Tribolium castaneum: one gene and its partner. The protein of the gene in region 1 purifies or fractionates together with the protein of each later gene. This does not show direct contact. Links are inferred from orthologs where the notes say so. Each region holds a gene or a part of one and is shown on either strand. Other genes may lie near its edges. The genes, in order: l(2)dtl and CSN6.

Region 1 (4,064 bases):
ACTTGTTAGCAGCTACTGCCATGCTACAAATTCAAATCACAAACGAAAAATTCACAAAAGCTAGTTATTTCTCTCATTTTTTTAAAAATTACAAAATAAAAGCATCGAACGTTTGAACAAATACATGTTTTTTCGTCTCTGTCATTATCTACACCTACATAATATATTTTACATATTATACTATAGAAATGTACACTGAAAAAAAATTATAACTTCACAATGCTTTTTAAAAAAGAAACCAACATTCAAATGCAAACTTAAGTTTATAAATAAAACTATCGATAGCCTGATGCCTAGGCACGGATAAATGAGGTTTGACTGTATTGAAACAGAAGTACCCATTCTGCTAAAAAACGCAGTATCAAGTGGTGGGTGTAATTAGTATTTTTGGTTGCATAAAAAAATTGCCAGCTTCAAGATCTTAACTTTTTCTTTGTTTTCATCACAGGGGGAAATTTTAATAAGACACCTACCAAAATTAGGTACAAAAAAATTAATTTTCGATTATTTGATAGCTAAAATTAGCCGCTAAATAAGAAAGCGATAATTAAATTAATTCAAATTAAGTTGCTAAAGATAAAATTAATCACGAAATCGCGAATAAAATTTTGATTGTAAATTTAGCTAAGCAATGTATTACTGATTATAAAACAGCAACGGTAATACCTATAGCTGTTTTTTAGTGGGTATAGGCGATTGATTGTAACCATATAAAAAAACACATTCAAAATAAAACTTTTTTATTAATTTCAGGTCAAAAACAAGACAAAACATAGTATAATAAAAAATCATAAAAACAAACAAGACAGCTTAAAACTACAATACAAAGTCTTAAAATATGAGATACATTGTGTGCTTAATTTATTGACTGGATTGCGTATTCGGCGCCGCAACATTACAGTTTGAATGAGACTTCGTACACGAATGCCCTTCACACTTAACTTTAAAAAACCTCAAAAGGGGGCTTTTCGGCGCACATTTTTTCGGCGTCGCCTCCAACTTGGCCACTTTCGGGGGCGTCGAAGTGGAGGCTGTTTCAAAATCCCGCTTAAACTTCCTCTCCGTACGCAATTTCGTCAACCAGTCTTGATCCTTTTTCTTGGGAGGCGAAAAATTCAAATGTGGGGCCACCCCATCAATCACATAATTGGGCAAATTCAAAGTCAGCGTCTTCTCATCATTATTTTCCAAATTTTGGAAAAGGCGCCTCGGCCCCAATTCGCCGTGAAACCTCTTAGTCTCGTTGGAAATTTCCTCATCGATTTTCCGTTTGTTGTTAGAACAACAGTTTTGGCACACGCCACTGGTGGAAGGACTGTCGCACTTTTTGCAAGCAAGCGACATTTTTTTACTAATCGGGATTATTTCATCAATTGGTCGCTTCAGTTCGGACTGGACCGGGATTAAAGGCAACACTTCGGCGTGGCCTTTCCCGATTATTTCCCAATTTTCCGGCAGTTCCTCCGGGCCCACTCGCCAGATCCGGTGGGACATGTCGTCGGAACATGTGACTAAAGTCGGGTCGTCTCGCTCGCACCATGCCACACACGTGACTTCCGCCACATGTCCGGTTAATCGGACCAAAGGTCGCGAATGACTTGTGTTCCAAATATACGCGTTTTCGTCGCTACTCCCACTAATCAAATAATTGCCATCGCGACTGAGACACGCCTTAATGTAAAAAGTGCTGTTCTGGTGCCCCGTGTACCTCATCACGGGCTCAGGATTACACGTGCCAACGTTGTAACTATAAATCGTATTGTCTAAACAATTGGCGTACAGCCTGACACAGTCCCTATCGATGATAAGACTGCTGAAGCCGTTCTTCGTCGTGGTGCCCCCGTACGGGATTTTGTTCTTCGGCAGCGGCTCCTGCTTATAAAAGAGATAATTCTTGCGCAAATCCCAGATTTTGATAACCCCATCACCGGCACCGCACGAAATCAACGTATTATCGTCTTGGAAGACCAACCCCGTCACTGACTTGGCGTTCGACGCCCTCGAGGGACTCAAACACGTGCACTTTTTGCGCGTTTTGACCGGAGTTCTAGTATTGTGTGAGTTAAAAATGGTCCTATCGACCTTCCCGACCAAGCTACCCCCGAGTGTCCGCGTGTCCCAAATTATGATATTGCCGTCGCGCCCCCCAGTCGCAAAGACACTCGGGTCCTCTTTGCGGAACGCAATGGTTTTAACTGAGCGCGTGTGACCGAAAAAAGAGCGAATTTCTCTCACGTCGGCCTCCGCCACATCGAAGAGCTTCGCAGTGTGGTCCCCTGACGCCGTCACGATCTTCATATTGTCGAACATCCAGCACAGGTCGAAAATAGCGTTGTTGTGCGCCCGGATCCCGTAAGACTCGTGCTTTTTACTGGTGTCTTGAATGGCCAGTTTGCCGTCTTCGTTAGCGAGAGCCAGCAAGTTTTCGTTTGATTTTTGCTGCGCGAATTTGCACGCAAAGATCGGGGTATCACAAATAACATCTTCGGAGGATAGTAACTGGGTGTATTCGTCCTCTTTGGGGCACCGGAGACGCTTAATTACTTCGTCGTAGCGTTTCCAGCGGGCTAAAAGGGCGCGCTTTTTGTGACTTGAAAGTGAAAATATTAACAAAATGTGCTACCTGAGCCGGTCTGTTGCTCGATTAGCTTCTTCACTGGCTGCATTTGCACGATTTTGGGGCAAAAAGTAACAATTTCGCTGCGATTTCACCAAGGCCTTTGAGTTGTTGATGTTTCTAGAATGTGAGGTTAAAGCGGGAAATGTCAAGGGACGCACCAACTTATGTGATTGTGGCTCTTTCTCTCGTTTGGTACGTGTTGGAAAGGGATAGCACTTGGGACGGGTAGGCGAGCTTGGGTCGGGTCAGTCGATAAAACAGATGGGACAATATTTAAAAGCCGGGCGAAATTTGAATCAAATTCAATCGTGTTTTTCTTTATCGGTTTATTTGTTAAAATAAGCATGATCACAGGTCGGTTCAACGTCAACAAAACCATTGGCTCAATCGGCAACAATTAACTAATCTATCGCTTTGGCTAATCAGTCTAACTCAACAGTTTGATTTATTGCAGCTTGCATTTAGGATTATCGTCGTATTTGCTCCGCAATTCCTTGATAATTCTCGAGTAGTGTTTGGAGTTTTCTTGCTGGAAACTCATTCGCCACGAATTTTGCACGTAAAAGGTGTGCTTCTCCTTTTTAATCCCGGGCCAGTGGACCAGGAACGCGCCATCCAAAATAATGAACTGGTATCCTATAAGGCACATCTCCAACATCTGGAAGTCAGAATTAGGCGCTAGTCCTAGTGTTGGGTCCCCACCTGAGTCATCTTGTCTTGCAAACCCTCCCAGGACAGCAGTTCGCTGTACAAGGGGTCGGTCTTGCCCCCTATGTAGATGGGTTCCCAGCGGTGGAAAGGGTACTCCCGTTTGACGGAAACAAAGGGCTGAAATTGCAAATTGAAAAACTGGCTACGCCTGGCTTTGCCCACCTTGATGGTGTCACCGCTGGCGCTTTCGAGCCAGGTCTTAATCCCCGGAAACTTCTGGCAATGGGAGCAAGTGTGTCTGTGGAAGTAAACCGCTCTCTCCTCCTTGACCATCATCATGAGTTCGTCTTTCGTCCTCGGTATGACATCATAAGCCTCCACTTCGAACACAGGCACTACGAAAACGCGGGACGGACTTTTCTTCAAATGCAACAGTTTGGCCATTTTGACGAATCTCGAAGCCAAGTCTTCGCTCGGTATGAGCTGGATGTCAGTGACCATCACAAAATCGGTCTGTGAGTACGTCCGAGCCACGTTTCGGCATATGTTGATGGGGTACATGAGCTCGTTGCTCATCCGAAACGTGGCCAATTTGGCCGAATCAGGGAGCTCGCAGGTTAATTTTTCCTGGTGGTTTTGCAAATATGGGGGCTCCTTGAGCGGGAATACGAAGTGGACAGAGACTCGCCCCATTTCGGGGGCGCAAAAACACAGCTGTGTCAACTGGCGGATTGTTAGGTCGGCGTCTGAATCCGGGACAAAGGCGGCAACGCTAACCGGGCCTTCCCAAAAT
Region 2 (4,342 bases), on another chromosome or scaffold:
AAGAGAGCTTTCTCCTGAGTCCGTTGAAGACATTCTCGCCACATGATCTACTCCAATTCTTTCTGCTTCTTCGGTTGCCAGAGTATAAGACAAATTAACAAATAACATTGTTGCTTCGCCCCCAATCAAATCAATTACAGACTCGTAAAGAGCAACCGGCAAATGCTAAAATAATTATGTTAAAACTAACACTTAAAATGCAGCCTGTGTACGAACATCAATGTTTTTGTCGTAGGGATTTAATTTAAGCAAAATTGGAGATTCATTAATGTCGCATATTTGCTTATGGATTTTAATGTCAGTGGTGTTGGGGATGTCTCCGGTGGTGTACCAACCAATGAAATCCATGTCACTGAACACCTGCTTGACTGCAATAGATTGTTAACAAACAATTTTTGTGTTTTCTAGTGTTTGAATTTACAATAAGAGTAGTTTTCTTATTTTTATTATTTGTATTCACCTTTCAAGCCAAGATCTCTGCGCTCTCTGGTGAACCACTCCCTTGCGAAATTTGATTTTGGCAGCTAGAGTACCATAAAAGATCTATTAAAAGTGTCAAACAGACAAAAAACGTTTGTACCTTTTCAAAAAAATTACATTTAAATTTCCCGCTATATGGCAAAGCAGCATTTCACAATTAACAACCAGAAAAACCAAAGGTCTTAACTTGAAAGGCGAATAATTGTCATAACTAAGCGCAAAACTTGAGAAAAATTAATAAAAAAAAAAATGAAAAAATATATACACCGTATTCGGTAAATGGACTGCCATCGCTTTACTGCGAACTCACAGGAGTCAGAAAAATATTATTCCGCATTTACATGAACTTTACTGTTTATAAAATTTTCAGCTACTGTATCCATACTTTACAGTTTATAGCAACCTTGTTAGAGTTGCCACCTGTCCGGTTTTCACTCAATACAATCCGGATATTAGACGATATGTCCGGTATCCGGATCAAATGTTAATTTGTAATAAATGTCCAGTTTTCTTAGGGTAATTTAAATTTTGTTGTATCTAAAATTAAAATTAACGACCAATTTTAAAAACTCTGCGATAGAACGCTTAATTCCATCTGTAATTTTTCTGAATTCGAAACTATCTAGTTGTTTCCAACAAATACTTTGAATATTAAAAAAAACTTGGAGTGAATTGGAAAAATGTAGATATACAACTTCTAAAAATTGAATTTACATTTTGCAAACAGGATACCGGATAGTTTTGCAAAAAAAATGATGCAGAAAGGTGGTTTACTGTTTATACAATGTGTTTTTAAATGATTCTCATCTAGTTAACTTTGAAATAATAAATACAGAATGTTAATATTCAATGTCTAAATGCCTATCATTAGTTATATGTTCTTTTACATGAGAAATTCACAGATGATTAGATGTGAATCATTCTAACACTCATTGTACAGGCTGCTGCATTTTAGATGTCGGAATAGGGGAACTCCAAAACTAAGAGATTTAGAGAAAAACAAGTGACACATTTTCTGGTCCGTTTTTTTAAAAAATAATTTTGGTCAACCGCATCCCGCTATCATCTTTTGTTTTCGACTTATCAACAGAACTTGACATTTTAACGAAATCTTAAAAAAAATCATATATATCTTCCTTATTATAAAAGATACACATTTGAAACACAAACATTATACAAGCACTTTTTACAGAGAATTTAAAAATGTTATCAGCGATTTTTTTAACCTTTCGTTTAGCTGTAATAAGTTTTATTTTTTTAAATATGAATTATAGGAGGCTGTAATATTTTTGTAAAGCTAATTTTTTTCTGATTTGATGTGTAATACATTCTTTTTAAATATTAAAAAAAATACATTTCGCTTTTTCTGTATAAAGTTGACACTAAAATGTCAACTTTTGTTTATAAGTCGAAAACAAAAAACGATAGCAAGATGCGGTTTAGACCAAGATTATATTCTCAAAAAACGGACCCAAGAATGTGTCACTTGTTTTTCTCTAAATCTCTTAGTTTCGGAGATCTCCTATTCCGACATCCAAAATACAGCACTCTGTACAATATTATTACTACAATATTTTTTATACTAATGCTGTTTGTTATATTTCTTGTATCAGTACATACTATTAAAACTATTGGCAATGTTTTTTTGGTTTTGTAATATTTTATTTGAAAATAAATTTATTTTTATTAAACTAAGTAAAAATTCTTAATACAAACGAGAAGTCAGGTAATAAGATGCCATTACCAGAGTATTTTATATACGATAATACGATAATATAAGAATGTAAGTTATTGTTGTTAGTCATTTTATTGTGGTGTCCAAAGCTAAAAAAAATCTGATGGTAACCCTAAACGTTGCCTACCTCCCACAAAAAATTTGCAGTCTGGCTAAACTTCATTATAATTTACAACAGATCTTATTCAATGAAATTGAAGAAATAAATGAGTCTCAATTACAACAAACGCAACCAACCATACAGAAAAAATCTTCCCTACTCTGATTAGTGATTACAAATTCCGTTGACCACACGGTACATACTTACATTGTTCTTCCTTCATGTTGTAATAATCCCTGTCGATAATAACATCCCCTCCAATTACACTAAATACCAGTTCAAATGAGTTCATTATTTCAATGTTTCGCCCCTTCTGTTTACCAATCAAAGCCCCAATCACTTAAAATGTAACATTATAAATAACTAACTATACTGTAAATGGTGTCGTACCTCGTTGGACTGAGCCCTCTTGAGCCTTTTCACGTGTCCAGTGCTCAGAAACATTCATTATCACCAAAGGGTGCAATGAACAAGTCACAGAACCGACAGCCCCAGCTGCCATCACACTTTTTTCCGAATCTTCCGCCGGATTATTTGCAACATCAGCAGAAGCCGGATTATCGACTTCCATTTCCATTGATTCTTTCGTACTCATATTAATTATTACAAGAAATTGAATCAAAATGTATAAATAACACCGCTAACAAAATGACAAATGACAGCGCTTTGACCCTTTGACAGATGTCAATGTCACAAGTGGCGCCAAACTTAAACGCAACATATTAACATATTCCTCAAATTTTATTAAATTCAAATACCTAATTAAATTTACTCATTAGACGAATTAACGTCATCACTTCCATTATTTCTGTAGGACGCATATAATTTATTACAAGATAATTAACCGAAATGACAAATAAGATCGCTTTGACAGAACGTGGTGCAACAAATAAAAATATTCGCTCTTTTATTTTATTATTTTAATTAAATTCTACAACCAATATATTACAAAATTTAATCATCCGACGAATCAACGTCATCAAAATCGCTGAAGTCGTCCAAGTCATCGTCAATCTTAAGCGCGTTGAGTTTGCTTTTCAAATCTTCCTTTCTCTCCTCGTCATTCGTCGAATCTTCCTCACTTTTTTTGCTCATGTACCTCAAAAACGTCCTCCGTTTGCGTTCCGGAAGCGTATGTAGCAAATTCTTCATTTCGTTGTCCAGTTTGAGTTGTTCCTTTTCGTCCGGTTTTGTTGTAATAACTTCTTTCGTTTCACAACATTTTGTACAAACACCAAATTTTTTTCCACAGTCTGTACACATCACATGATACGCTTTCTTCACGTTTTTCTGATCACATCTGACACATTTTCGTGGCTGTGTGAGCGGTTTGTATTTTTTGTACTTTATTTTCCACTCGATTATTTCCTTGCAACGGACACAAACGTCGCTGATTTGGATGTTGTTAATGTTTTTCGTGCGTTGACTTGTGTCGTGGAGGGTGTTTTTGAAGGCGGTTTTGTTTTGATGTTTTTGGGAGCGACTCCTTTGGGCGTTACCTTTTTGGGTGCTCATTTTTTCTGGAACGAAAACGTAGCTAAATGGGCTTTTATGTCTTTAATCAATTTTTTTGTTAAAAAAACTCATTTTTATTGATTTCTTTGCCTATTTCAATTTCAAACTCTTTATTGAATTGTTGAATGACCTAAAGATAAACACGCCAATAAAAATCAAAAAAGGCAAAAATAATTAAAATATGTTCGGCAAAACTTTCTCATTTTCTGTTTGTTTTTAGCAAAACGCTCGAAAATGACAAAAAGAATAATAAAATAAAATAAATCTCAAAAAAACTGACAATTTAGTTTGAAAACTTCATTTTTGACAAAGTTGTTATTTGTTTGGCGCTACTGTTGAAAAAACTTTGTTTTTACTTCAAAAACGTGCTTAAACACTGTAAAAAGGCAAATTTAACATCATTTTTGACCTAATTTATAGTACATTAAAAACAAGTTTTATAAGACGAGTCTTAATCTTATTATGACATCGCTCTTGATAACGTTGCGTGCTTTAAGATGCCCATTGAAACA

Evidence for each region.
Region 2: the proteins of l(2)dtl (region 1) and CSN6 purify together in Homo sapiens (affinity purification with mass spectrometry; 4 studies listed by BioGRID and IntAct, with this or other methods). This does not show direct contact. The link is inferred for Tribolium castaneum from reciprocal best matches to the Homo sapiens genes DTL and COPS6.

What each region holds. Positions count from the first base shown.
Region 1 is NC_087402.1:4,539,767-4,543,830, reverse strand, and holds l(2)dtl (protein lethal(2)denticleless), read right to left. Parts: upstream 2,809-4,064; 5' UTR 2,667-2,808; coding exon 2,624-2,666; intron 2,568-2,623; coding exon 862-2,567; 3' UTR 724-861; downstream 1-723. Other genes in the region: beta-1,4-glucuronyltransferase 1, read right to left, coding at 3,066-3,278, 3,323-4,064. UniProt on the Homo sapiens protein: Substrate-specific adapter of a DCX (DDB1-CUL4-X-box) E3 ubiquitin-protein ligase complex required for cell cycle control, DNA damage response and translesion DNA synthesis.
Region 2 is NC_087398.1:15,420,359-15,424,700, reverse strand, and holds the start of CSN6 (COP9 signalosome complex subunit 6), read right to left. Parts: upstream 2,997-4,342; 5' UTR 2,911-2,996; coding exon 2,706-2,910; intron 2,655-2,705; coding exon 2,523-2,654; intron 369-2,522; coding exon 217-368; intron 166-216; coding exon 1-165. Other genes in the region: uncharacterized protein C9orf85 homolog, read right to left, coding at 3,270-3,830. UniProt on the Homo sapiens protein: Component of the COP9 signalosome complex (CSN), a complex involved in various cellular and developmental processes.